3 linked regions of the Lonchura striata genome follow. The protein of the gene in region 2 purifies or fractionates together with the protein of the main gene of each other region. This does not show direct contact. Links are inferred from orthologs where the notes say so. Each region holds a gene or a part of one and is shown on either strand. Other genes may lie near its edges.

Evidence for each region.
Region 1: the proteins of TOM1 (region 2) and ZFYVE16 purify together in Homo sapiens (affinity purification with western blotting; 3 studies listed by BioGRID and IntAct, with this or other methods). This does not show direct contact. The link is inferred for Lonchura striata from reciprocal best matches to the Homo sapiens genes TOM1 and ZFYVE16.
Region 3: the proteins of TOM1 (region 2) and CUEDC1 purify together in Homo sapiens (co-immunoprecipitation; 3 studies listed by BioGRID and IntAct, with this or other methods). This does not show direct contact. The link is inferred for Lonchura striata from reciprocal best matches to the Homo sapiens genes TOM1 and CUEDC1.

The regions. Positions count from the first base shown.
Region 1 is NC_134642.1:86,166,967-86,176,993, forward strand, and holds the start of ZFYVE16 (zinc finger FYVE domain-containing protein 16), read right to left. Parts: upstream 4,350-10,027; 5' UTR 4,237-4,349; exon of another isoform or gene 4,182-4,236; intron 3,116-4,181; exon of another isoform or gene 1,694-3,115; intron 1-1,693. Other genes in the region: CCDC125 (coiled-coil domain-containing protein 125), read right to left, coding at 6,152-6,411, 6,508-6,601, 6,678-6,796, 8,048-8,216, 9,186-9,293.
Region 2 is NC_134607.1:22,433,462-22,443,067, reverse strand, and holds the start of TOM1 (target of Myb1 membrane trafficking protein), read right to left. Parts: upstream 4,077-9,606; 5' UTR 4,003-4,076; coding exon 3,951-4,002; intron 1-3,950. Other genes in the region: HMGXB4 (HMG domain-containing protein 4), read right to left, coding at 7,333-7,377, 8,954-9,076.
Region 3 is NC_134622.1:10,698,302-10,707,708, reverse strand, and holds the start of CUEDC1 (CUE domain-containing protein 1), read right to left. Parts: upstream 4,223-9,407; 5' UTR 4,109-4,222; coding exon 3,818-4,108; intron 3,352-3,817; coding exon 3,224-3,351; intron 2,429-3,223; coding exon 2,311-2,428; intron 573-2,310; coding exon 401-572; intron 1-400.

The sequences.
Region 1 (10,027 bases), on a different chromosome or scaffold from region 2:
AGCAAAAACCTTCCCCATTTGAAAAAAATACAGACGGGAGGCCAGTAATTATTTCATCTACCTTTGTCTTTTACTTAAAAAGGCCTAGAGAATATTCACAGTGTTGCACACTTGAGTCACACAACAACTTCTCATTTAAGCATAAGGGCATTATTAGACAACAACACTATTTTTAGCTTATAATGCTAATTAGAAGGGTGCATTGATGCTGTACAGCATTGGCCCACTAAACTCTCCAGAAAAAGGAAGAACTCAATGAAAAGAACTGTAGAACTAAAACCATATGCCAATATTTACATCTATTTAATACAGATCAGCTCACTTCTACAGAGAGCTCAACAAACTATCATACCTCAGTCTACCAACCCAGCAATGTTGCTTTGTTTAGTTAAATCTATTTTTTAAATAAAATGGTTATTTGATTTCGTAAAGTACTAACCTAACGTTGAAAAACTAGCATGTGTATTTTTCTTAATTTCATTACTCTCCTCAAACTTTTCATAGGTTTTTCATCTTTCTACAATAGACCTACAAGCAAAAAAATCTGAAACCCACAACAAAATCAAAACCCCCAAAACAGGGCAGAGCAGCAGTACCCCCCTGTCCCAACTTTGGTGTCTGCATCACCAAAAAATTGTAAAAGCCTTCTAGTTTCTCATGTTTCAAATCCTCTTTCAGCAAGAGGAACAAGTTTTATTTTCTGCTGCCTGGATTTGCCTGCAGCCTGTCGCAGTGTTTACATTATTGGATTAGAAGCTATGAAAAAGCTCTGGTGACACATTTTTATTAAATGGCTGCTTGCTTCCCTGAGTGGAGGGTCTGGAGGAACCATGTGCTTTAGCGAAATGCATTTGCTCTGAGCATATTCCTTTAAGGCTTATACTTGTAACGGAAGAATTACACTGCATTCTAACTATCAGAAACCAGGAGCACCACCTCTGTATACGTTTTTTAGCCAGGCACAGTTGTGTTTTCTGAATTTGTCTTTTAGAGCTCTGAATACAGTCACTAGACACACTCTAAACTGGCTCACAGATTAGTATTCTTTAAAAATAAACATATGCTTATAACTTTATCTGAGGCAATAAGTCCCTAATAGTGCAAGGAGACATAAAATTTTAGGCTCTCACCACTCCATTTCATAGTTCAAAAAAACTTTAAAATTATATTTAAATCACTGTTTATTAAAGACCATATGCTTTCAGATAAAGATAGATTAAATATTTACGTAGGAGGAGACTTGAAGGTAAAATAGCAGTCTGCTTCAAAATGGGAAAATAATCATCTAAGCACAAAAGGTACTACAAAAAAGTGCACACTGGACATGTCACTTCTCCAGATAAACCTCGAAACAGGCTCATCTTAGATCTCCAACAAATGGTCTGACACACTCCCAGCACAGCACCACACAGACCTAAGAGACAGAGGCAATAGTTCCACCTCATTAAAACTGTTAACTATTAACTGTGGAATGCAAATCCTGAGATCTCGATGACTGCAAGCGTGACAGGGTGCTCAAAAATGTGTCACAGACCTCAACACTTCCTTAAAATCCTTCATAAATCACTTATCCCTTCTAACCGAACAGGCACACACATTCTAGAGTCCAAAACCAACATGCACTGGGGATTTCTCTGCACACTCTTAGTTCAAGGAGGAGATAACACGAGGCTGCTGGGGGTGGCCAACTTACAGGATGGATTGCAGGGCTTTTTCCCAGATACACTCTGTAAAAGGAGGCACTTCACAGCTCTCAGTGGTGGTAACTTGCAAAACAGAATGGATAGGTTAATTATTACCAACCAACCCATTGCAGGTCTGAAGACAAGCTACCTTTTGATGTCTGAGAACACCTGAAAACCACTCTCTAGTGTTCACACATATGGGCACCACCACACCCACAGTTTGCTGCAGCTAATCCCCATTGCAGAGGCCAGGCCTGCTTCTACACAAAACATACCAGAAGAGCCCAAGCTGGGCTTTAGAGGCAAAGGAACACACAAGCAGGGGCACAGGGGTCTCCCCTCCAGAGAGGTGACCACAGGATGGCCACCACCTCAGTTCTGACTACCACAGCTGCAGTCCCTTGGCTCGCTGGCTATGTCCAGCTCCACCACAGTGTTTAATTATTATGCTTAGCCTGAGCAGAAAGCTGAGCTAAGGACTGTGGAAGCATGGAAATGGCATTTTCCACCTTACCACCCCAGCAACCACCGCAGGCAGAACAAAATCTCCAATATAAACATGGGCACTAAGCACCAAGCTCACAGTGAAACACTCATGGACTGCTGTGTGCCCCCTCTCCCTCACTGGTGTTGCACATGGGTGTTGCCATGATGATTTTTGTCTTTTCTTTTTATATACCTTTTATGAGGTCTCAGTATCCTTAATATAACTGTAATTCCTTAAGCCTAATACCTTAACATAATCCTGGTATTCTATTAAGCCAAAAGACCAAACTTCTAAAAGCCTCACAGTCAGAAGCCAGAAAACCTAACATTATCTTGAGAAACCCCTCCAAAACACTTGTTACGCCCATCTAAGAAAAAATACATTAAAATAATCACACTATTTATTTAAACCTCTCATTGAAATGTCTTTGTTAAATATACTAGTTTACAAAACCTATAAAACTGTATACACCATCTACCATATGTATGCATTTTGGTACATGCAAATTTTACAGTTTGCATTTTGGTACAGCCCAATGTGACAAATTGTTACACCATAAAAATCCTAATTAAATACCAAAATAAAAACCTTTTTATCCCTTACCCATGTCTAACAATTCTAAGACCAAGGAAAAAGCATCAAGGGTACTGAAGGAATTCATTACCAGCTTTTTCCTTCTCAGCCCCCTCCCTAACACCCATGAACCCACACACAGGCCTGAAGCCCTAATGACAAAAAGTTTTAGGGAACAGCTGACCACAGAGCCCATCAGCAATCAACCTGATGAAGTTCAGCACAACTGCACAAACAGTGTGTGAAAAATTTAAATAAAAACAAGAATGATTCTTGCTGAGCAGAACAACTTACTGTGTAAACCAAAAGCTGAGGTGGCTGCTGCCACAGCAGGTTTAGGAGCTGAACCATGGGGTGAACCAAAAGCTGTTGAAGTTTTCAGATATATAAGGACAAGCTTACAGGATAGAGCACAACAAGCTGTCTTGTCTGAGGAATGCTATTCTGTGAGTGAAACATGGACTCTTCAGAAGGGCAGAACTCCACCAGCAGCGTGATGACATTACACCCGCACAGCTCCATCCCACATCGCCTTCAGCTTCTGAGGATTTCTGTTCATTCATCCACCCTGCTCCTCTGAGCTGGGAGCAGCACTGCTCACAGCACCCAGAGAATCGCGGACTGCCTCAATTACTGCAGCGCTGGAAGGCTCCTCTGGAGCTGCTCCCCTGGGCAGGGGCTCGGGGACGTGTCCAGCTGGGCTGGGATGTCCCACACAGGGACCCCGCAGCCCTCCCTGGCACTGTCCCAGGGAGCCTGGGAGGGGTGGGACGGACGGACGGGATCCCCCCTCGGCTCCCTGCTCCAGCCCGCCCGGGCCGAGCCCGGCACAGAGATGCTGCAGAGCCCGAATCCTCCCTGTGCCTCCCTGGGCCCCTCCAGCAGATTGTTCTCTTTCTCCTGCTGTGAGCCAGCCTGGAGGCGGCACTGGGAGGCAGAGCGGCCCTGACTCGCAGCAGGCAGGGGCTGTCATGCGGGCACAGAAAGCTCTGCAGAAGGGACCGCGGCAGGCAGGGGAGCGCTGCTCGCTCCGCACCCCATTCCCCGCGGTCTGCGTTATTCACCAGCCCGGCTTCGCCTCTCGCCACCCGGCACCGGCAGCACCGGCGCTGGCGGCCGGCTGGACCCTCTGCCGCACTGCCCACAGGCTGCCAGTGACCGGTTCTGCTCGGATTTAAACACAGACTCAAAGTGCTTTACACTCTCTAAGTGTGCGGTGCACCACTGTCCGCTCTATGTGCCATATATGTATTCTGCACAACCTGCCAAATAACCTCGTCTACTTTACTTTATACACCACATACACTCTCCACATACCCCACACAGCGCTCTCTGTACATATCCCATGCTCGATACGCCGTATATAGAAACAAGCGGAACCGCAGCAAGCAACACCACCACCAACACGCAGAAACCTCCGGGGGCGAACCACCCACCCAGGTGCCCTCAGGCAGAGGTCAGACTCGCACAGCCGCGTCGCCCCGACCTCACCCGGCGGGCTCGGGGCCGTCTCGGGGCCGAATCCCCTCAGGGCCCGCCCCGCTCCCAGTCCCGCTCCCAGTCCCGGCCCCGCCGGCGGCTCCGGGCGGCGGCCTCGGCCCTCGTCTGCGCGCAACGCGCCTGCGCGGCCGCGCCCGCCCCACCCCGCGCCTGCGCGGCCCCGCCCGCGCCTGCGCGCCCCGCCACGGCCCCAAGGAAGGGGCGGGGCCAAACGCCAGACGGACAGCGTGAGGGGGCGTGGTATTGCTACATGGGCGTGGTCGCGTCCGTGATTGACAGTGCATGAGGGCGGATCGCCGACTGGCCTGACCCCCACCGGGGCGGGGCCTGGGGGAAAGGGGCGGGGCCTCTCGTGTAGGTCACGCCCCCCACCTTGTCCCGTAACCCCCGCCAGGGGGCGCCGCTCCCGCCTGGGTCTCGTGGCGTCAGACCCTCCGCGCCGCGGTGACGTCACTGCCGCGCCATCAGCCCTGCTCCCTGCCCGTTCCAGTGACGTCACAACTCCTACCGTGACGTCACACCCTCCACAGTGACATCACTGAAGCGCCATCAGCCCCACCCAGGCCCTGCTCCCTGCCTGTTCTGGTGACATCACACTCCCCACAGTGATGTCACACCCTCCACAGTGATGTCACATCGCCTACAGAGATGTCACACACCCACAGTGATGTCACACCCTCCACAGTGATGTCACATCGCCTACAGAGATGTCACACCCCCACAGTGATGTCACACCCTCCACAGTGATGTCACATCCCCTACAGTGATGTCACACCCCCACAGTGATGTCACACTCCCCACAGTGATGTCACACCCTCCACAGTGATGTCACACCCCCACAGTGATGTCACACCCTCCACAGTGATGTCACACCCCCAACAGTGATGTCACACCCCCACAGTGATGTCACACTCCCCACAGTGATGTCACACCCTCCACAGTGATGTCACATCCCCTACAGTGATGTCACACCCCCACAGTGATGTCACACCCCCTACAGAGATGTCACACACCCACAGTGATATCACACTCCCCACAGTGATGTCACACCCCCAACAGTGATGTCACACCCTCCACAGTGATGTCACTGCAGTGCCACCAGCCCCACCCAGGCCCTGCTCATTCCGGTGACATCACACCCTCCACAGCAAGACGTCACTGGCACCAGCCCTGCCTGTGCAGACCTGTCTGTCCTTGTTCTGGTGACATCACGCCCCTGCAGTGACATCAGACCCCTGCAGTGACATCATACCATTGCAGTGATGTCACCCCATGCAGTGACGTCACCGCCACTCCCTCAGGGACTGCCAGCGCAGCCCACACATGCTCCCAGTGGTGCCGCTGAAACAGCCACTCCCGCCCCTGTGCCCACGCTGCGCCATCATCCCCGCAGTGACACCACCACAGCACACACAGCTCCCGGTGTTTCCAGAACATTCTTTTCCACATGGCCGTGGCACCGTCCCTCAGCCGAGAGCCAGGACCATGGCCTCGGTGGCCTCGCAGCCACTCCTGGTGTTTCCAGAACGTTCTTTTCCACATGGCCGTGGCACCGTCCCTCAGCCGAGAGCCAGGACCATGGCCTCGGCGGCCCTGCGGCCGCTCCCGGTGTTTCCAGAACGTTCTTTTCCACATGGCCGTGGCACCGTCCCTCAGCCGAGAGCCAGGACCATGGCCTCGGCAGTCCCGCGGCTGCTCCCGGTATTTCCAGAACGTTCTTTTCCACATGGCCGTGGTGCCGTCCCTCAGCCGAGTGCGGAGAGCCGGGACCATGGCCTCGGCGGCCCCACAGCCACTCCCGGTGTTTCCAGAACGTTCTGTTCCACATGGCCATGGCGCCGTCCCTCAGCCGAGCGTGGAGGGCGTTTCCAGAACGTTCTTTTCCCCATGGCCGTGGCGCCGTCCCTCAGCCGAGCGCAGAGGGCCAGGACCGTGGCCTCGGCGGCCCCATGGCCACTCCTGGTGTTTCCAGAACATTCTTTTCCACGTGGCCATGGTGCCGTCCCTCAGCCGAGCGCAGAGGGCGTTTCCAGAACATTCTTTTCCACGTGGCCGTGGCGCCGTTCCTCAGCTGAGCGCGGAGGGCCAGGACCGTGGCCTCGGCGGCCCCATGGCCACTCCTGGTATTTCCAGAACATTCTTTTCCACGTGGCCGTGGCGCCGTTCCTCAGCGGAGCGCAGAGGGCCAGGACCGTGGCCTCGGCGGCCCCGCGGCCGCTCCCGCCCGAGCCGGGCGGGCAGGGCTGGGGGTCGCGAGCCAACGCCAGCCTGGCCCGGCCTGGCCGGGCTCCGCCGCCCGCGCCAGCATGTAGCTGACCTTGCGCTGGTGCGCCAGGGCCTCCTCCTTGTCGTTCACCTGCCAGCGGAGAGCAGAGCGCTCAGCGCCAGCGCGCCGCGGCCGCGCCGCGCCGCAGGGAGAGCCGTGCACTGACCAGGTCTATCAGCACCCGCAGCAGCTCCTGGGCGTCGTCCAGCTCCCGCACCCTCCTGCCGTCCCCGGCTGACCGCAGCAGGCCGGACAGCCGCCGGCCCAGGCTGGGCTCGCCGCCCTCTGCGGAAAACACAACCGCGTCAGCACAGCTGCTCCGGGAGGGGAAACCGCTTCAGGATAGAGCAGCACTGCTCAACTGGAGCTGAGCAGTCACAGAGAAAAGGGCAACACCAGACGCAGCTCGGCACGTCTCCCTGCTCCCGCTGCGCAGACCTCGCACGGGGGCAAATTGAGAATTTGCTCCGTGAAAAACACACTTTTCACGCTCTAGGTAAACAATCATTCACGGTAGTTCGTTTTTAAACACTAAGTAGCCTTAAAAACCCAAAGATTCTCTGACACTGGCAACCTACAAGTGTGTAAGATTTCCAGGAATGGTAAAATTCACAGCAGGTTGTTTTTAAACACTAAGTAGCCTTAAAAACCCAAAGATTCTCTGACACTGGCAACCTACAAGTGTGTAAGATTTCCAGGAATGGTAAAATTAATTTGTTTTTAAACACTAAGTAGCTGAAAAAAAACCCCAAAGATTCTCTGACACTGGCCACATAGAAGTCTGTAAGATTTCCAGGAATGGTAAAATACATTAAAATTACGGAACAGATGTGCCAGGTAATGGAGCCTGAAAGCAATGGGGCCAGTACAGGGGAAACAGACACTCAAGGTTGTGCTGTTGTAGAGCTACACCCCAGGAGTGCCCCAGGAATTTGGGAGACACATATCACACTTCTAAGCTCCTGCCAATGGTCAAAACAAATATATTGTGCCATTCCTAAAGCCTGCAGTGGTTCTGACCATGATGTAAGCACTCAAATACCTCTCATTATCCCTCTATTTTTTTTTTTAATAATAGAAGATTGTTAGAATTACTCCTACTTTACAGATTGGAAATCTTCCTCTTTTTACACAGGGCTTTGTAACTCTGCATTAGTGTAAGAACACTAATAAACAGAAATATCAATACACATGCATAATAAAAAGATAAAGGGGTTTAAGAAAAAAAAAACCACAACTGTTTAGTACTCCAGTGAATTATGGAGTGGCCTGGCTTGGAAGAGACCTTGAAGCTCATCTTGCTCCATACCTTCCACCAGACCAGGCTGCTCAAGCCCCACTTGGAGCTAAAAAAACCTCAAGCTATAAATTTTTTTTGCATTTCTTCGCCTTCCCCACCTCTTCTGCAGAACTAATTTGACAAAAAACAAAACCCAAAAGACAGAGCAGTTGCTGGCAGCCCTTAAACCAGCCCGGGCAGCAGCTGAGCCCCCAGCACGTGTCCAGACCAGCCAGCCCCAGGCACTGCCCAGCTACCAGCGCCCTGCCGCCGCCAGCTGCCAGATCTGGTTCCCTTCTTCACGCCGAGCGCCTCTGCCAGCCGCAGGGCCTGCTCCTGCCTCTGCCCCAGCTGCTGCTCAAACGCCGTCCGGAAGGCGTCCGCCACCAGATATGCCTCTTCCCTGCTCTTCTTCACATCCTCCACCTGGGGTTCAGTCAGGGGAAATTTAAAGCGCGTTAGCTGCTTTGGAAGCAAAACAGATTTGAAAGGAATATTAAGACGCAGACAGCTTGCAAGTAAATATAATCAAGGAAGCAGCAGGAACCAAAGGGTTTTCCTGGCATGTAAAGAAATGCATTTTGAAATGTGTATTGAAGTCCTTGCTCTTCATTGTCTGCACATGTTCACACCCCCAGCCACCTACACAATAATCTCTGAGTTTATTTATCTTTGCATATGTACAAGAGCTCAAGGAGAAAAATAATGTCTCCTCCAGCCAGGCCTGGAGAAAAAGGAGCAAGAGATTGCAATCCATATCAGGGATCATAAGGGACAGGCCAGCACCTATTTTCAAAACCGGCTGGTCAGCTGGAAGTTCTGCAGCAGGACCACAAGGATGGCTACCACATTTGCAGAGTCAAATACAGATTAGAAGAGAAATCCTAAATCTGCACAATTTCACTTAATAGAAAAAAAATAGGAGCCTGGAATTCACGTCACTGATTTAAGTGAGAGATAAATAGGTATTTCTAGCAAGATCAGCCTGCTGCCCTAGCTGAGTGAGCGGGCTGTGGGTGCTGATGCCAACGAGGGAGGGGTGGAAGGCACTGCCAGGAAGGAAGGGAAGGTTCAGTGCCAGTCCACGTGCACAGTGTGCACATTCATGGGGGACACACCCTTAGGGCATGTTCTCTTTTTTCATATAAAAAATACGGGGAGAAGGGAAAAGAATGCAATTTTCTTTTTTTTAACTAGTAAAGCTGAGTAGATATAATCACTTTTTTTTTTCTACCAGCAAAAATGATGGCATTACAAGCATCACAAACTTCACAGTATTTCTGAGATCCACTGTGGTTGTGAGAGTTTGTGAGAGCAGTGCCTGGGTGTTTTGGGCTTGGTTTGGACTGGTGCAGGAGCACCCCCTCCTTGTCCCCACCCTGCCAGCCTTGTCACCTGCTGCTTGAGATGAAGGAGTTGCTTCCGAGTGAGAGCTGCCACCTTGGCACAGGGACAGGGCTGCCCCTCAGCAGGGCTGCAGGTGCAGGCTCCGAGCACTGCCAGCTGAAAACCCAAAGCAAACCAGAGGCCAGGGTGAAAAATGCATATTTTATGATAGGCTCTTCGCAAATGTTAATACTATATTTTGTAATACTGTATTAATCATTTTTAAGTAGTGTGTTAAAGATAGTTTGAGGTTATAAAATAATGTTAAAACAGGAACTCTGTGATATAAGATATTTTTTAGTAGCTCAAGAAAAGGGATAAGATAATCAAGAAACTCTTCACAAAGAGATAACAGCAACACAAAACCTGAAGAGTTACAGCCTCCTTATCAGAAAAGACAAACATCCTTCCACCTTCTCTCTGTTATTGTGGAACCACCAGGATTAAGGGGAAGGAGTTGAAAAAAACCAGAAAAGTTCTTAATTTGCAAGGATTTTATGGATCATGTATGAGTCAACAGGCTGTTGCTTTTACGGTTATTCCTTTGCTCACAAGGCCTGGTTTTGGCAGCTCAGTGCCAAAAAACATCCGGATGTCCATATTCTTTGCTTTTTATTGTCTCCTAATGTCCTAATCTTTATTGTCCAAATTTTTATTACTCTCATTTTATTCTTAATAACTATTTTATGACTAATAAACTCCTAAGATTTTAAAAAACAAGCGATTGGTGTTTTTCACAGCCAGGATCTGCTCGCAGAGGTGCCAGTAAAAAACCCCCCTGGAACCAGGAGCAGCTGTGGGGGGTGGAGGCTTCTGAGTCCAAAGGAGAACTGCGTTTTCAGGCAAAACCC
Region 2 (9,606 bases):
TACTGTGTCCCCTTTGCTCCCCACCCCAGACTTGAAGCACCCACAACCAGACGGATGCTGCTCAGAAATCCTTTGTCTGTGATATGCTCTGCCCCTCCTCCAAGTGAAGCCTTCAAACAGTGCTCCCTGCAGTGCTTTTTGCTGGCTCTAAGTTCCTCAGCAAACCATCAAGCACCTTCTCACCCATTTCAACAGGCGTCTGAAGATATCAGCAGTTCATTGCATGAGACAGTTCAGGTCAATGCAATGCAAGATGTCTCTTCTCCCAACTTCCCTTCAGTTCACAAACTCACAGGCCCAAATCAGCATCCTGTACAAGCTTCATGCTTTTACTTCTCTTGAGGGAACTTCAGCACCAGGTCTGTCAGGACTTCACCATTGAGCTGTATCTTTCCCTCAAAGCCTGAGAGGACAGAGTGCATTCTAGAGAGACCAGAGATACAGCTTTGGACACAGACTGTGCTGACATAGTGGTGTGGGTATGTGTGTCTCTGAACTCCTGCTCCTTTCCTGTGAATCAGCTCAAATTCTCAGGGATCAAGTGACTCTTCAACTGCTGCCTTTGCCCCTTTTCCTCCAGACAGAGGAGGCACAGAAGACAAGGCAATGCCTTTTTGAGAAGCACAACCTTGCAGGGACCTACAGAGGGGTGCAGGAACACCTGCAAAGTGGGATCCAAAAGGTTGTAGGGATTTTTCTGGTATATTGTTTTGCATCTGCCTCTCTTCCTCACCCAGGAGCCTTTCTTACTTGCTTTCTCTTTACAGTCTCAACTTTTCCTGGTCCTCATGCTTAAAATAACCCCAATCCATAAAAAACATCTCCATGCTACACTGTTACTTCTATCCCTTGACTGCTCTCACTCACTGAAATAACCTGCCTCTGTCCCTTTTGGTATTGCTATAATTACTAGTTATTTTAGACTTCCAGGGTGAGGAGAAAGCATTCATGGTTTCTTCTCCATTCTCTCCCTCAGAGACAATTCACCTCCTTGGAATTAGATTTTCCATTTTGAAAATGGAAAAAAGCTTCTCTTAGATCCTAGATGGAGGCATAGTGGATTTCCCTTTTCAGAGGGGAATCTGAACTATGATGCTTTATCACTCTTTGAAAATTTTCCCACTGGTGTTTAAAAAAACCCACCACACAACAGAAACAAATACAAAAACCCCCAAACAAGCAAGTCTGTATTCTTCTTACTTGGGAAGAGACATCATGGTGCAAAAACAGGAGAGGCAACTTTTGTGACTAAATCTCAGAACTGTGAGTAAGAAACTAGAAAACCTACTCCTCTGCAACTGACTCACTCTGTGACAGATCACTGAGATTATCTGAGCATTGCTTTCCTAGTCAGCAAAATAAATGGGTCTTACTAGATTAACATTAATGAAGGAATTTGAGAACGTTACTGCAGTGGCCACAGAGGACTTTTTTTTCCCTTAGCCTTCATCTAAAGCTATTTTAGACTTCATAAGCTGTATCAAGCATACATGACTTTGCCCAAATAATTTACAAGGGCACAGCATTATCTTTCTGCAGACAGCCCAGGGCAATAGCACTGTGCAGGTTTTGTGATCAGGCTCATGGGTTGGACACGCAGCTGCCACAGACCTACCAAACGAGTTTGGGGGAGCCATGTTTGCATCCCAAATTAAGCAGGGAAGATAGCATTTATCCACATCCCCAGGATGTTGATAGGCAATGTTCAAAAGGAGAAAATAGTAATATTTTCAATCAACACCCCTTTCAAGTCCTCCACAGGCTTCCTTTCTCATACACTGTAATTCCTCCACCTCTTTGAACTCCCATAACCCAAATCAACCCCCAGTCAGTAAGATCTCCCTAGTATCACACTTCTGCTTCTCAGCTCCTCTCAGACAACACTTTTGAAATATCTTTTCTTTTTTCCTCTTCTTTGCTGCTTGGTTTGTTGCTTGGGAATTCCTTATTTAATTGAAACAAAGCCTAAAGGTATAACCCACTTACAATCTGGTTGCTAAACTGACCAAAAGATCTGTGAGGCAACATTCAGATTGCCTCTACCCAAACACAAGGACATATCTGATACACTCACTGAGGGAACAAAAAGCATTCATTCAGGAAAGGGCAGGAGATGGTTTCTCCTGGAATGTCTGATGAAACACGTGATGTTCTTCTGAGGGTATGTTGAAGATTATCTGGAGGATTTTGATAACAGTTTTCCCTGATGATCCTTCCACTGCCTGGCTGTAATGCATCTCACCTATCAGTCCCAACAGCAGAGTGGCACATCACAATACCCCTGACACACTTTGGGACAGTGTTAGGGTAGGTTCTAAAATCATTATAATAAAAGCATGACTTAAAGCAGCTGCTTACACTCTTTCCATCCCTGGCACAGCCTCCTCTTCACCTATGCAAGGACACCAAAAAGACTGAATGTGGGACCAGATGTTCACAGCAAATAGCAAAGGTCTGACAAGCAATGATCAGCAAGAATGAGCAACTGCATAAACGTACAAGTGGAGAGTTTAAATGGGCATCAGCCTTCAAGCATAACTTCAAGGCCCCCAGGCAACACAACATGAGAACAGAGAGTCTTCATTCTAAGCATTTTATGAACTGCAGCCCTGTTCTGACACTAGTGCAGCTGTTGACGGTCTTCTTCTCTCTAAGTGCGGCATCTTTGCTCTCCTTTCTCAGGCCACCTCCTTCTCCCACGTTCCCCAAACTGCCCTGAGCACAGGGACTGCAGGACACCAAGTGCCCGTGGGCCTGCCAGGACACAGGGCGGGTGCTGTTCATTGCCCGAGCTGGTGCTCCATGCTGTGAGCCAGCTCGTGCTGCAGGAGCCAGGGCATGGCCCTGCCAGGCACCGCTTGTCCCACAGCTCGGGGCGGGCAAACACTCCCAGCTGCCCAGCGCTTGAGTCCTTCGGGCAGGGGACACTGCTCTGACTGGGCAAGCTGCATACCCCAGGGCAGCCCAGCCTGAGGCTGCTGTCCCGCAGCCCCGCTGTCCCCGCAGCCCTCACTGACCCTGTCCCTCAGGCCCGCTGTCCCCTCAGCCCCGCTGTCCCCTCAGCCCCGCTGTCCCCTCAGCCCCGCTGTCCCCGCAGCCCTCACTGACTCCGTCCCTCAGCCCCGCTGTCCCCTCAGCCCCGCTGTCCCCTCAGCCCCGCTGTCCCTGCAGCCCTCACTGACCCCGTCCCTCAGCCCCGCTGTCCCCGCAGCCCTCACTGACCCCGTCCCTCAGCCCCGCTGTCCCCTCAGCCCCGCTGTCCCCTCAGCCCCGCTGTCCCCTCAGCCCCGCTGTCCCCGCAGCCCTCACTGACCCCGTCCCTCAGCCCCGCTGTCCCCGCAGCCCCGCTGTCCCCGCAGCCCCGCTGTCCCCGCAGCCCTCACTGACTCCGTCCCTCAGCCCCGCTGTCCCCTCAGCCCCGCTGTCCCCGCAGCCCTCACTGACCCCGTCCCTCAGCCCCGGGGTCTCGCGGCGCCCCTCGCGCCGCCGCGGGTCACGCGCCCCGTTCCCGCCCGGACGCGATAGGCTGCCCTGGCTGGAGCCCAGCCAATCAGCAGCACCCCGAAGCCCCCGGAGAGGCGCGTGCGGGAATGGCTCCAAGCCAATCGCGGGGCTCGGCGGTGCCGGGGGGGCGTGGCGCGGACCACCGGCCCGCGGCCCCTTTAAGCGCGCAAACTTCACCCCGCCACCCCCGAGACCCCCTCGCGCCCGGATTGGCTGGCGGGGCCCCCGCCGGAGCCGCCTCGGGCTGCGCGCCCGCTATTGGTCGGCAGCACCCGTCAGTCAGAGCAGAGCTCTCCTCTGATTGGCCAGCGCGCCGCTGGTCCCGCCGCGGAGGCGGGGGCCGGCGTTTCCCCGAGGAAGGGTCCGGCGGACGCCCCCGGGAGCGCGGGCCCGGACGGGCGAGCGGGGGCGCGGGGAGGGTCGGGGGGCGCGGGTGCGGCTCTCACCGATGCGCTGCCCCACGGGGGAGCTGAAGGGGTTCCCCAGCAGAAAGTCCATCGCCGCCGCCGCGCCGCGATCAGCTGACGCTGCCGCCGCCGCCGCTCACGTGACCCGCGCCGGCCGGGGCGGGCCCGCCGGGCCCCGCCGTGACGCCAGCGGCCGCCGCCCGGACCGGCCCCGCCGTGCCGCGGGCGGAGAGGCGTGCCGCGGCTGCCGGGCAGGGCGGTGTGTGCAGGCCGACGGGTCCCCGGTCCTGCTGGCCCGCAGCCCCGGCCGCAGGAACCGAGGGGCTCCCGCCGCCGAGAGCCTCCGCCGCTTTCTGCAGCCACGCCGAGCTCGTCCACAGCACCCGCGAGCCTGAGCGATGCCAAAGCCCTGGAAAGCCCGTGGGGATGAGTTTTTCGTTTTCCATAGCCCAGTGGGAGTAGGAAGGACTCCCGACACTCCCGGTACGACTTAGGAAAAAATTCTTTACTGTGAGGGTGGTGAGGCACTGGGACAGATTGCCGAGTTGTGGATGTACCATCCTTAGAAGTCTTCCAGGCCAGGTTGGATGGGGCTTTGCGCAAATTTTTTGTGGAAGGTGTCTCTATGGCAGGGGTGTTGGAAATGATCTAAGGTCCCTTCCAACCCAAACTATCCCGTGACTCTACACAGGGTGGTTGGCACGTTCTGGGATGTGCTCCTGGCCTAAGCAATTGCCCTGCCCAAGCTGAGGCTGCAATCAGCCAACACCCATACCTGGAAAATGGGGACGTGTTAATAACCAGCACAAATCTCGCTCTAACGCTGCCACGCCTGACTTCCTGCATCACACACTCGAGTCCCGTGTACTGGTGTCACCTGAATGCCATGAGGCTGAACTGAGGTGAGGCGGCAGGGAAGACAAATGCCCTGGTGTTACCTGCAGTGCTCCATGCTACATCTCCCTTCTGGGGGGTCCCAAGCAGTCAGGAACCCGAGCGATAATTTGGGTGACTGGTGCTGCTGGAAACAGCTTGCCTGCCAAGTGAGTGAGTTTAGGAGGGTTAGGATTGGATGTGTTTTGCTGAGAAACACCAAGTAGTAACAACAGTTGCAGAAAACAGCACATGCCAGAAATAAACAACAGTACTCCAGAAGTTTAAAAAAAATTATATTGTAAGTACAGTACAAAAAAGTCTGTGTATAATTGTAATGTAATCTGGACCAAACAGCAAAGAAATAACAAAAATATAAAAACTGCTAAGTCTTGACAAAGTTTCCCTACAGTACCAAATACCACAAGATACAGATTATACAAAGTGTACAAATTTTAATAAAAATACAATTCACCAGGTCCTGTGTGTTTTTCACTCTTCAAGAGTTTTCAGTTGTACAGAGGACAAAGCTGAAGTTGATCCTCTTCTGTTTCTTCAAAAGCAGATCTACCTCTTCACCAAAATGCTCTCAACTCTGAAGGGCTGGAAAGAGCTGGTTATTTTGTGCTGCTCACAACAGCAGATGCTTTAGTTTAGGCCAGGATCTGAAGCAGGATTGGACTGCCTCCCTCCTGGGCCCTTCCTGCTTCCAGGCCCATTGGGATTTGTCCTAAGCTGTTAAAATGGGTTCTGGCCTGGTGGTCTGAGAACCTTCCGTGCCTCCTCTGCTGAGAAAACCCCTCACTGCACTGAGAAAAGATCTGTAAGAGACAGACTACCTTATACAGGCACATCTGGGCAATACGTGGCAAAGAGGCATAGAGAGAAGAACCCTCCACACCCCAGGATTTAATTTACTTCTGATTTGGGGCTCAGCCACAGTGAGGGACAGCTCACTTTCAACTGTCCTAAGAAACAGAAGCTAGATTTACTTGGAAGTAAAAAATGCCTCTTCTTTTATTTCAAAACTTTCCTGTTACAGAGGTGATAAGGCCTGAGTCAAATAATATTTCAGTTGTTCTGCCCACCTTCACAAGATAGCATGTTTCTACAAACTCTTAGAATCTTCCTGGTGCTTCTTTACACAATGCCCATGCTTACTACTATACATAGAGTTGATTCCTGCAGGAAGTGTGCTGAGAAAAAACTTGATTCACATTTTTCACGCACTGTTGGCTGAGGGAGGAATTTTTGCTTTTAAATTATGTATATATATATAAATATATACACACACACACAGAGAAATATACAGGATAAATTAAAATCTGTTACAGATATTGGTAAAAGTTAAATACATGTGATATGAACACCACATACACATACATACACACAGACAAAAGCCTAAACAGGAATCAAGTGTTCTCCTGCTGCTCCTCTTCCAGAGGAGCAGAAAACCAAACTCCAGGTATGTGGCTGGAAAGAAGAGAAACCAGTCCAATCAACCCACATGTGCCTTACTTGGCCGTTACTGCTTCAAACTGGCCACTGGTCACTGCCTTGAAGCAGCACCACAGTTCCTGCAATAGTGCTGGTGAGAGAGATGGGGGATGAGCCATTTCACAAAACAGGTGCAAGATGGGCAGAAGCAATCCAAGTTTTTCCCATCTGCTTCTCTACTCCTTTCCATCAAAGTACGCTAATCACGCCATGGAAAAATCAGCAGGAGGTTCATTTTCTCAAGCCAATGCAATGGGTTGATACATTGTGCTAATGATGATTTGAGTATGAGTCCATAAGAAAAAAATAAACTTCTTGTCATCTACTTCACTTCAAATACCAGATACCAGACCAGCCAGCTGATAATGTCAACTTTCAGTTATTACTGTCTGAGGAGTAGGGGTTGGAGAAAGCGACCAAGAGGCAAAAAGCTATCCAGCTTTCCCCTCTATAAGTGTGTTTTAAACAGAAAGAGTTACAAATAGGGCTGGTGAAGAATTCAGTTCTATTCCCTGGTCCAAAATGTATCATCTCTCCCTGCCCACAGAGTATCAGAATACTTTTGTTTTAGCAGGGATATCAGGAGATCATCTGGTCCATCTCCCTTCTTAAAGCAAGTCCAACAAGAGCAGGCTGCTCGTTCAGTTTTTGAATATTTTCAAGGAAGGCAAGTCAAGAACCTCTCTGGGCCACCTGTTTCAGTGACCCCTCTCATGGTGACTTTCCTTCTTGTTTATATCGGGAAGTCCATTCTCTGATTGTTTCCCCCACTAAATCTGAATTTAAGGCAAATATCTCAAAAGCTTGCTGAATTCTTCATACAAAATACTTTCAGATTGGAGGACATTTCACCCACCAACACAAAAGGGTTTTTTCAGCTTAACTTCACAACTTTTTATAAAACAGAAGTCAAATAGTTACAATCCTATGTATATACTGTACATATATAAACTTTAAAAGCCTCCACATGGAGCCCTTCGGGAGCGCTGGCATAGTGCACATACACAAGTCAGTTACGCAGAGGTTGAGTACATCCCAGGATCCTTTCCCATCAAAGTCCAGGCATGATGTAGGCAATGTTGTCTAGTGTGTTTGACTAGGAAAAGAAATTTGGTGTTTTTTTAGCATCAGGTAATAACTCGAAATCCTTAAAAAATGGCATAGGTGAGGGTACTAAGCAGTTACAAGTTGAGTTACAAGTTATCATAGGATGAGATAACCAAAGCTGCCTACTGATCACCTTTAATAGGGTGTCAGATGGCAAAAAGAAGTGCCCTTCAGTTTTTCTTGGAAAATGTAACAGAATTCTGAGAATCCTTCTCATGCCCATCAGAAAAAAAGACCCAGCTGTATGTTTTTCAGATGCAGTGTTTCAGTAAGATCAAGCCCGTGGCTAGATAGCTGAGGAGGCCTTAGGAGGAGCACCTTTAACTGAGAGATGGAGGAGGTGGAGCTGCACCAGTTGTGATTTTAGAATTTACAATGCCACCTACTGTCTCAAATATAAATTGCAGCACAACTGCTGGGGTTTATCGTGTCTCAGAACACCACTGTCATTATGTATCTGACTGTGAAAATCAGATTATCAGCTCTTGAACAGGGTTTCCAGAAGTGAAGCGTAACTGCCATAATTCACCTAAAGCTCTGTTTCTCCTTATAACAATAACTTGATCGAGTTTCTAATAAACACACCACTGGTCATGTGGTAACTGCTCTGAATAAACTTGGCAAGCAGGAAGGAAAAAAAGCATCAGTTTTTCCATGGCTTAAGATCGGAACACCCCACTGACTCAGCTTTTGTGCACAGAGCCAGTTTGTGGGTGTTCACAGACTAAACTGTCAACTTTGTTCCTGTTGTTGATAGTCCATTCTTGTAATGAATAAACGTTTGGGCTGCCCTATTATGATATGTCAATTCATATCTCATTTTTGTTGCCCCCTCTGCTGGATATGTTTTTAGTCTCTTAACTTTTGCAGACTGTATTTTTTAATTTTTGCTCCTCTCCTTTGCTGCTTTATTCACGTCTCCTGTAGGAAGTGTGACTCATGATGGCTGCTGCCATCTTAATCTATGTTCACATCAGGCTACACAGATGTCATGAGCTGTTGCTAAATCAGGGCTCAATATGAAGAGTAGCTTAAAGAAGAAAAGAAACTGTAGTTATGCAGCTCCTTAAGACAGAGATTATTTTTCTTTGCTCAGAGAAGGTTTCAGCCACTTGTAAAAGGTCCTACACCATCACATTAGGAATCCTGAGATCACAAGCTGTTTTTTAAGCTAATGAAGGAAAAACAGCTTGTGTGATAAAGAGCAGCTAGAAGGTGGGCTTTATTTTATGGAAAATTAGAACTTTTGAAAATACTGGTTTACTTTTATTTGAGTCACATTGATTGACTCCATCATGACTAAAACAGGACCTACCCGCACTGCAATGAATGCTACAAATATTAGGTCAGTTGCCAGTGGGAGAAAGAAAGGTTGCACAATATTGTACAACGGTAATATCTGTAAGAATTTCAATAAACATTCCTCCGTAAAAGCCCATGACCAAGACAAATTCTCTTATTGCATTGGAATTATAATTATATTACACTGATTAATCAAAAAAAGCTCTATTTGGACTTTACTGAAATTCACAGTGCTAGAAAGAAAGTAACCACAAAGAACTCACCAAAACATGCTTTGGGCAGCCATTCAACTCAGGCAATTGTGTGGTCAGACATGCCAACGGGCCCAAAGCACAGATGATTGAATCTAGGAGTACTGACAAACTTCCAGAAACAGCCACCATTCCCTGGCAGTGACGGAGGAAAAAAATTGGAAAGGGATGAGTAGTGGAAATTGAGCTTCTTTCTCAACTGTATCCACTCTCAAGCAGATACTGTATCTTCAGCCCTCCAGTCCACTTCCACTATTTACACAGTAACAGAACTGTGCCTTGTGCTTCAAAAGACTGCTGGCTCAAAAAATTTAGAGTTCAAGAGGCAATGAACTGGTGCAAGATAAAAGCAGGAATCAACAGAAAACACCAGGAAGTTGTCAGTTGCATAAAACACTGATTCTACAAATTTTTGTAATATATTTTCTGTGCCATTTTGTACCATCTATTTTGTTAACTATGTGAGTCCTAATGACAATAACTTTTATTTTTGAAGTTAAAGAAATGCTAAGCCTCTAACAGATGTTTTAGTCATTTATATACTTTCTGTAAAGCGAGTTTTTCTGTGTGTTTTTCTGGGCCTTGGTTATTCCTCTTAGGATGTCAAATCAGTCATACCAAAACCAAAATGCAAGAACATTTATTTCACTGTTGATAAAATAAGC
Region 3 (9,407 bases), on a different chromosome or scaffold from region 2:
CCACAAGCACTTCGGTGGGAGCCCGCAGCAGCAGAGGAACTGCCCACCCACCACAAGCACACGAGGAGCACACCCGTGGTTTTCCTGCCACCTGCAATGACAGTGCTGCCAGGACCCTGCAAAGCACCATGACAGGGCTGGGGAGGGCTCAGAGGCCATTTCCAAAGCTCCTTGCTATGGACTCTGCCAGAGATGCTGCAGAGGGGTGGGAAGGGGCAGGAGAGCAGGAGTCCAGGGAGCAGCCCTGCAGTGTGGGCAGCTCAGACCCCCAGCCCCCTTCCCGGTCACATCCTGTACTGGCTCTGCTTTGGCACAAGCCCTGATCCCACGGGCTGCCAGCAGGCAGGGTCACAGCAGGGCACACACCCAAAAAGCAGAAGTTTCCAAAGGGCCCTTTCACCTCTCTCCAGGGCGAGAAGGAAATCCCGGTTCCTCTGGAGCTCCTTCATGAACTCTTCGTTCTGCAGGAAGAGCGCGATGCGCTCGTCCTCCAGGTACTGCTTCCAGCGCCGCTCCTGCTCCAGGGAGCCCTGGCCCCGCGGGACCACGGGCTGCCGGCAGCCGCGCGCGCCCTGCGGAGGCAAACGGGCACCTCGGCTGCTGCTCCCGGCTCCCTGCAGCGGCACCTCGGGCTCAGCTCGGCCTTCTGCCCCTCTGCCACAGCCCTGCTCCCCAGCCCCGATGGCAGAGCTGCTCCCAGAGCGGTGCCTCCCTCCTCCGCCCAACAGCCCAGGGCAAAAGGGACAAAGGGGGACAGCCCAGCCCCTGGGAAGGGGGACAAACACCCACAAGGGAACCTTTGGGACAGACACCCACATGGGAACCTTTGGGACAGACACCCACGGGAGAACCTTTTGGACAGACATCCACATGGGAACCTTTGGGACAGACACCCATGTGGGAACCTTTGGGACAGACACCCACGGGAGAACCTTTTGGACAGACATCCACATGGGAACCTTTGGGACAGACACTCACGTGGGAACCTTTGGGACAAACACCCACGTGGTAACCTTTTGGACAGACATCCCACATGGGAACCTTTTGGACACACATCCCACGTGGGAACCTTTTGGACAGACATCCACATGGGAACCTTTGGGACAAACACCCACGTGGTAACCTTTTGGACAGACATCCCACATGGGAACCTTTGGGACACACATCCCACATGGGAACCTTTTGGACAGACATCCAACATGGGAACCCCAGCAGAGCACAGGCTGGCAGGGATGTTTAACTCCAAACCATGGGGTTGTGCCATAGCAGAGGTGTAAGAGGTGTGCAGGTACGAGAAGGGTCTCAGCATGTCTCCCATCTCCAAAGAGCAGAGTCTGCAGTGTCCTGCTGACAAACGTCCCTGCACGAGGCACTGTCACACCTCACACCTGGGGAGCAGCACAGCCGCATGCTGCGGCACAGCCTCATCCCTGCCTACAATATTTATCTGATTTGTAGCTGCTCCCAGAGAGCCATAAAAAGCAAAAGCACACAATTGCTGGGGAAAGAAAAGGGCAGCTGCTCCTCTCCTCCCCCTGAGCCCAAATGAATTGGCAGGCTCCTATTCCCAGAAAGGTAATAGAGCCCGTGAAGCTCAGCTGGAAGGGCAATCATTCATGCAAACGTGGCAGGCTGCCTTTGCAGACGAAACAGCAGCGAGGAGCAGGGTGCCTGCAGCCCCCCCAGCCCTCTCCATGCCAGGAGGGTGCTGGACCCATTTAGGGGTTCCTGTGATAGCAAAGGGCCAGAAGATGCCCCAAATTGTGTCTGGAGCTGAGCAGCATGCTCAGCATGTGTTGGGGCTGCTTGTTCTCCATGGGATGCTACCCACTGCCTGCCCTGCTGCTGGCACCCAAACTTTGTGGCTTAAAACAACCACGGAGCACACGTGGGCTCTGATTTCCCAGGGGCAAATCCTCTTGCTTGCACTAGGTGTCCTACCCAAATTCCACTGCAGCTGTCCTGAAGTGCTCTGGCAATGCTGCTCTCCTTAGGAGCATTACTGGTCCTGTGCTTCTCACCAGAGCAGTGGGAAACATTTTCAAATAATTGAAAATATTAGGTGCATATGGCAAGTGGCATTTCTGGCACTAATCACTGGGATAATGCAGGAAAAATATCAAAGCTTTGCTGAGAGCTCTTTCACACCTTGCCCACTTCAGTCTCTTGAACAGGAGACACTTCAAAACTTTTGGGTTAGTCCACACCTGGTACCCAGCGTGCTGATGCTGCAAGCTGAGGGTGCCTTAGGACTGGGATGGTGCCCATGCCACAGCACAGAGCAGGCTGGAAGGGGTGGCCAAGCCTCACCTGCGCGCGGGCCGGCTGCTGGGGCAGGATGCGCAGGAAGTCCTCGGGGAGGCTGCCCAGGAGCGGCGGGTTCCAGTTCCTGTAGTGCGCCGCGCTGCCGGGGCCGGGCACGTCCGTCCTGCGGGGCGAGCACAGGAGCACCTTTGGTGAGGAGAAAGCCCCCAGCGCTGCCACGGCAGCGTGGCACAGGGCCTGGCACAGCACAGCCTGCCCAGCTCCGCCAGCAGTGCTGGAAACCACAAAACCCCAGCACATCCCCGAGCCTGCAGCGTTAGCATCGGCTCTGAAGAGTGAAAGCTTTCCTAGAATGTTTGGAATATTTGGGAGCTGCATTTCAAGCCTTGCCCTGCAACTCTGCAGGCTGGGCTTTCCTTCTCCTCCGTGTTTCACTCAGACTCCCAAAAAGCAGCTTGGTGGAGCCCCAGCACTGCGGGGATTTGCCCACAAAGCTGACAAACGTCTCTCACCCAGTGTCACACGCAGCTGCACAGAGGGCAGGGGCTGGCACAGAGGTGCCCAGGGCTCAGACTTGCTGACCCACAGCTCCACAGCTCCAGCCAGAGCGGTGCTGCCAGGGGCCAAGGGAGAGCCAGCCGAGGTGTGTGGTGCGTGGGACCGGCTGCCCAGCACCTGGTGTTTTCCAGCAGCAGCAGCGAGCGCTGCCCGCCCCCGGAGCTGATTTTTGCCATTCCACAGCCGCCGGAGCGGCTTTCCGGCCCCTCAGCTGTTGGTGTTTTAGAGCCTCACAGGGATTTTTGAGCCAGCTGTGAGCTTCATTCATCTCCCTTGGCTTTGTCTCACTGGACCCTGTACGGAGCAGGGCCAGAGGGCCATGCCAGGGCTGGCTGATGGCAGCCTGGGCCCTGTGCTAGCACAGGGTGCCCCAGGAGCGGAGTGCGGGGCTGGGGCTCACCTGGGCGGGGGGGTGGGTGGGGCGCGGGGGTAGCGGCTGCCCAAAACCTGGCTCTCGTAGGCAGGAGGGGAGTACACGGGAGGGGGCTCCTCGTCCGAGCTGTCCGGCTCCAGGGTCCGCTCCAAGATCTGCAGGGTGAGAGGATGGGGTGAGGGCAGGACAGGAAATGCTGTCCCCAGTGGGCCAGAGCTCCACGGGCAGCAGCAAAACAGGGATGGCACAGGCTGAATGCTGCTGCAGATGATGGGGCAACCTGCTGGCACTGGGGGGTTTTGGTGGAGTTTGGAGGTATTGTTTTCAAGGGGAGATGGTGGCTGAGCCTATCCATGCTGCACACAGCCTTGGGGAGTCTCTCTGCCAGCAGCAGAAGGGTCTCTGTTGGGTTTTGGGGCAAGGGAGAGCAGGGAGAGCACTTGGATTGATCCTGAAGATCAATCAAGACAACCTTTGGTGCAGCAGCCCAGCCAATCCGGGTACTCAAACCTCTGCCTGCCTGCAGCAGTTGAATAGCACCGTGGCCAGGCAGGAGGAGGCAGGATGGGGCTGCTGTGCCCGCTCACGGTGACCCACACAGGGGAGCCCCAGGCAGGTTACCTCGGGCGGGATGCTGTCCTCCGAGTCCGAGCTGTCGTCACAGCCGCTGCCGTCCAGGTTCATCTGCAGAAGCTGGTCGATGGTGGCGTCCACGGCGCCGTTGTTGGCTCTCAAGACGCACTCGATGATGTCGTAGTCCATGTTGGGGAACATGGTCTTGAAGTCCTCCATGGCCTGGTTGAACTCCAGGCGCCGCACCTGCCTGGCGGGGCGGCTGTTGTTGAGCTCCTGGGCGGAGGAGCCGCCGCGGGAGCCGCCGCCGCTGCTGCTCCGGCGGAAGAGGCTCGTCATGGCGGGGCGGCTGCGGGGGCTCGGTGCCCGCGGTCCGGCTGTGCCCGTGCCCCTCCTCACCGGGGGCTGCCCCGGCTGCCAGCCGGGACCATGGGTGGGCGGCGGGGGTCCCGCTCCCCGCGGCCGGCGGCTCCGCGCGTCAGCCCCCGGCGCACGGCTGCATCCTCCCACCTGCGGAGGGGACACGGGACAGTCACCCAGGGACAGCACCCAGGGACGGCACCCAGGGACAGCACCCAGGGACAGTCAGCCAGGGACAGCACCCAGGGACAGTCACCCAGGGACAGCACCCAGGGACAGCACCCAGGGACAGCACCCAGGGACAGCACCCAGGGACAGTCAGCCAGGGACAGCACCCAGGGACAGCACCCAGGGACAGCACCCAGGGACAGCATCCAGAGACAGCACCCAGGGACAGCACCCAGAGGCTCTCCTGTCTCAGCAGAGGACATTTGGTTCCATCCCACCCATCCCACCGCATCCTCGTGGGACTGAGCCGTCCCTGCAGCAGGCCTGGCACGCCGGAGCCTGGATGTGCCATGCCAGGATCTGCACCAACAAAATGCAAGGCAAGAAAAATGGCATTGCTTCCACTGCTGAGGGCTGCCCAGATTTAACGTTTCCAGGTTTGACATGTATTTATAAATACAGTAAAATCACTCTTTAAAATAAAACATGGAGTCGGCTCAGAGAGTGTCAGAGGAGGGGGCTAAAATGCTCTGCAGCACGGCAAATCGACCTTTTGGAAAAGCTACCAAATCCAAGATTAACATTCACTTTAAAACCATAAACAGATTATACAGCTACTGCTTCTCGTTTGAAAATGCAGGGCCAAATTCAGTTCTGGATTAACTCCACTGTTTGAAACAGAATTACCTCAGGAACACTTTCGATCCATAATATCATTTTCAAGGGTTTTTTCCTAAGTGGCAGGCAGAGAGTTCAGGATAACTGTCCCTAAATGGTATTTAATGTAGAACGTGCCAAGCACATTTCTTAGCAAAATGGTATAATCAGATTCCAAGCCATTAAGAGGAGCAGTCACCTCTGAAGGTCACCTGGGCTCTCCCCTGCCCAGCAAGACCATGTGTGACAGCCATGTCCCCTCAGCCCCTGTGCCAGCCACAGCCCTGAGCTGCTCCAAGGAACTTCCAGAGGCTGCTAGAACCAAATACACTTGTAATACATGAGGAACTCAGCGGGAGCTCGGGGAGAAGTTCACTTTTTGCCCCACTGCTAATTTACCCCCACCTTCATCCCTAGGGACAGCACTGCTCTGACTTGGTACCAGAGGAATCACAGGGATGATTCCTGCTCCAGGCATGCTCTGCTCTCCTTCCCTGGCTTTTGTAATCCTGGAAACATTTGCATTTGGATGCACCAGTGCACGGTGCCAGGGCCATCCAGTGCCACCTTCCTGTGGCATTTTCTCCCAGGCAGGACAGGACCCAGGGAAAAGCTGCTGCAGAATCACTGTCAGGCACAAGGGGCCATTTCCAAACAGCACCAGCAGCCCCCAGCTCACTCCTGCTCACTGATAACACCCATCTAACTGGTCACTCAGGCAGGAACTGTCTCCATCCCAGTAAGTCTCAGTGCCCAGGACCAGCTTGCCAGGAGGCAGGCACGGAGCAGCGCTGTGCGAGCAGAGCAGGAACAATTCCGACAGCTCTGCCCGGCTCCATTCACTGAGGACAAATAAATCCACGGGAGTCAATTAATAAAACACTGCTGCTCGCTTCCTCCTCCGCTCCCCTGACACATTCCCAGTGAAGAGCCAGCATTGTTCACACCTCTGGAATTAGGCTTTAATTGCAATATTGCATGGCTGCTTTGGTCACGTATTAAATTGAGTTGTAACACATTCACAGGGTACACACCTCCTTACAAGATTTGGCTACTCCAAGAGGATGGGGAAGGAGCCTGGACACACATGAGAACACGGGTTATACTGGATACACACACACACATGATCCACAGATGGATATGAGAGCTTCTGAGGAGAACCAATGCTGTGCCAGCCCATAAACCTCAAACAGCAAAATAACCCCCAAAATCAGGCTGGGATTCTCCAGATCTCCATAAAGTAACCAAAGTACCTGGGCTGGGGAATCTTTGTCTCCCAGCATTTGACTTTTGAGTGTGTATTAAAAGACTTCCCTGTAACCTGGCTGTGCCAGGCACTGGCAATCCCCCTGCCAGCCCTTTGGGCTCCTGCTGCCAACACCAACTCAGGGGAGGTGTTAGTCAACACTGCAGAGTCTGGGACAGCTCCCTGCAAGGGCTGGACAGTGGCACTGAGCACAGCAACGTGCTGAGCCATGGAAATCTTCCGGTCAGAAGATGAACAAAATTAGGGATGGGGACAAGATATTTCACACCAGAAAGGCTCCACTGCACATCTGGCTTCAAACAGCCCCAAGGGAATGTGTTGGGACCTTCCCTGCCCTGAGATACACCCCAGGAATTCGGGGCTGGCAGACCAGGGCAGTTCACATGCCCCGAAGGCTTTTAAACCCATTTTTCAAAGTCCTGCTGCTAATCCAAAGAAATGCAAATCACTACATCAGCATGAGTTAAAATCCAGGGAAAAGCAGCAAGTGGCCCTGTTGGCAGGAGTTGTTTTGAAGACCAACAGGCAGCTGTACTCCAGATCCCCCCAGCTCCTGTGTGCCCGCAGCAGTGCTCAGGTGAGCAGCGGGGAGGGCAGCAGGACCCGGGGGGCAGCTGGGGAAGAGGCTGAACCTGTTCCTGGCCCTTATTTCTGTGATGTCAGTGAGGGGCTGGGAAGACGCCAGGAAAAGCAAAATCCGTTGGATTTCCCAAAAAGGAAAGAAGAAGTTGGCGTGTGCCTGCAGTCCATGCGTGGGCACAGGCACACTCGGGCACAGGCTGGGCCCCTCTGCTCTCTGCCCCTGTGCAGAACCAGGCTGGGGTGACTCCTTGGCTGCTGCCTCACCAACTTTTCTCCTGCCTGACAACAGCTCCCGCTCTGCTATCCGCAGAAGGACCCTGAATGCTGTTATTCATCCACCAAACCCAGGCACAGGCATAATCCTTCTCCCTTCTGCTGCGCCCATCACAGGAGGAGCTTAAAGGCTTTGCAAGCTCCTGGCCTGCGTGTCCCTGTCCCGCGGGTCACAGAGAGCAGGGATGCTGGCACTGCCCCTGTGCCACCACCAGCCCTGGCAGCACAGGGTAAATCCTCCTGTCCTGGCAGAGCCTGGTCCTGGCTCACCCCAGCTGAGCCACCTCAGCATCCCGCAGGGGTGGCTGTCCTGGCAGTGACCTGTGCCACGGAGAAAATTCCAGGTGACATCCCGTGCCAGGCTGGGGCCAGGCACGGAGGCAGCACTGGGGTAGGAAGGGCTGCCACAATGCCACAACCACACCAGCTTTTTCCCAAGTGCCTCCACATGCTGGGACAGGGCTGGCACTGAAAATGCTGTGTTTTGGTGTCAGTGCCAGGGTAGCACAGGACACTTCCATACCACTGCTGTCTCACTGCACACCTTTGGCTGCAGCCCCTGCCCTTGGCTCACCACACAAACCCATAAAATACAACCAAACACAAGCTGGCCTTGGGGGGCAGCTCCCCGCTGCCAGCCCAGGGGCTCACCCTGCTCTCCTGCCACCCGAGCTGCCAGTGACCCGCACAACTCGGAGCCACCCTTGGCAGAGCCAGGGACAAGAGCAGAACCAGGAGAGCTCAGTCAGGGATAATGCTCACAGCCCGGCAGAACATCCTCCTGTGCCCCTGGCATCCGCCTGGGTACGGCTGCTCTCACCCAGCCCAGCAGGCACTCGGCACCTCCCAAAAATGGCTCTTCCCCGGCCCGAGGGGAAGCTCTGGAGAGGCTGCCGGCCTCAGCTGCCCGGGAGAGCAGCTGGATAATCCCGGGGGTGGGTCAGGCCGGGGATGTGGCGCTGGAAGCAGCAGTTGCTCGGCTGGGCGCGGAGCTCAGCCCCGCCGGAGGAGCCAGCAGCTGGAAAATCCCCGGGACCGACGGCTCCAGCCCTCCCTGCTCGGGGAAGAGCCTTGGCACCGAGTGCAGACCAGAATATTCTCTTCCCCAGAGTCTGCTGTGGCTCAGACAGCAGATGGGATTGCTCAAACACTGCCCAGCCCCTTCTCCCCTGCTATTGCCACGCTGTGCTCACGGATCCCCCAAAAACGCGCCGGAGCCTGGACCCCCCTCTGCAGCCAGGACAGGGGTGACCCCACCGAGTGTGGGGTCCCCCAGCCCCGCACTCCCCAGCCCTCAGGGCACTCATCCCGTGGTGGCTGCAAGCCCAGGCCTGTGGTGCCTCAGCTGGGGATGCAGAACACACGTGCAGAAGCATTTCCACGCACAGGATTATTTGGAGAAAAGGGCTGACAGCTCCCCCAGTTCTTGGAGGGAAGACTCTTGGAAGAAGTCTCAAAACTCAAGGATGTTAAACTAGAAGGAATGGCTCTGTCCAGAGCAGATGTGCTGAGTTCTGCTGTAGCCAGGCCCCTGCAAGGGGATTGCTCAATGTGGGAACGAGAAGTCTGGGAATGTGACTGCTGAGCAGCTGCATATGTGATTATAATAGGACTGAAATTAGGATGAAAAGTATATGATCAGGAACAGAAATGATGCTATTCTCTAGCACCAAACATGCCAAGGATGTGCAGGATGGGGCCCTACCAGTCTCTCCTAAATCTCCTTGTTACCTTCCTCTCTGCCTCAGGGGATGCTGTGCACCCCTCCTGGGCCTACAGCCTGGGAAAACTGGTCCCAGCAAATCCTTTTTCATGGAAACAAATAAGCACCTGAGGATCTCCTTTAATACTTGTTCTACCAAGTATTAAAATGGCTGGGTTTAAGCCCTTTTCAAAAGCAAAAGCAATCAAGGAGGCAAGCACAAGTAAGCCCTGCTTGGGAACCTGTGCAGCACGTACCTCTCTGCAACAGGAAATTCCCCTCTTGGCTCCGAGGGCAAGTGCAGAGGAGCTGGGAGAGCCAGGGAGTGATCCCAATCCCAACACGTCAGCATTCCTGCCTAGGTGGTCTCACCGACAGCTTTTCTGGGGAGCCCTGGCCACTGCAGCACTCTGAACACTCAGGATCCTCCTTTGAGGGATGCAGCTGCAGCCTCGGGGCACCCACTGCTCTCCCACCACCCTCCTCCCGGACAGATTTATGGGAGCCCTTTGTGAGCCCACCAGATGTCGGCCGTGCACGGCACCCAGCTGGCTCTTAAACCAACACCACCCTCTAAAACCTGGGGGGACACTTGTGAGAGCCAGGCAGGGCTGCACCCACATTCCCCC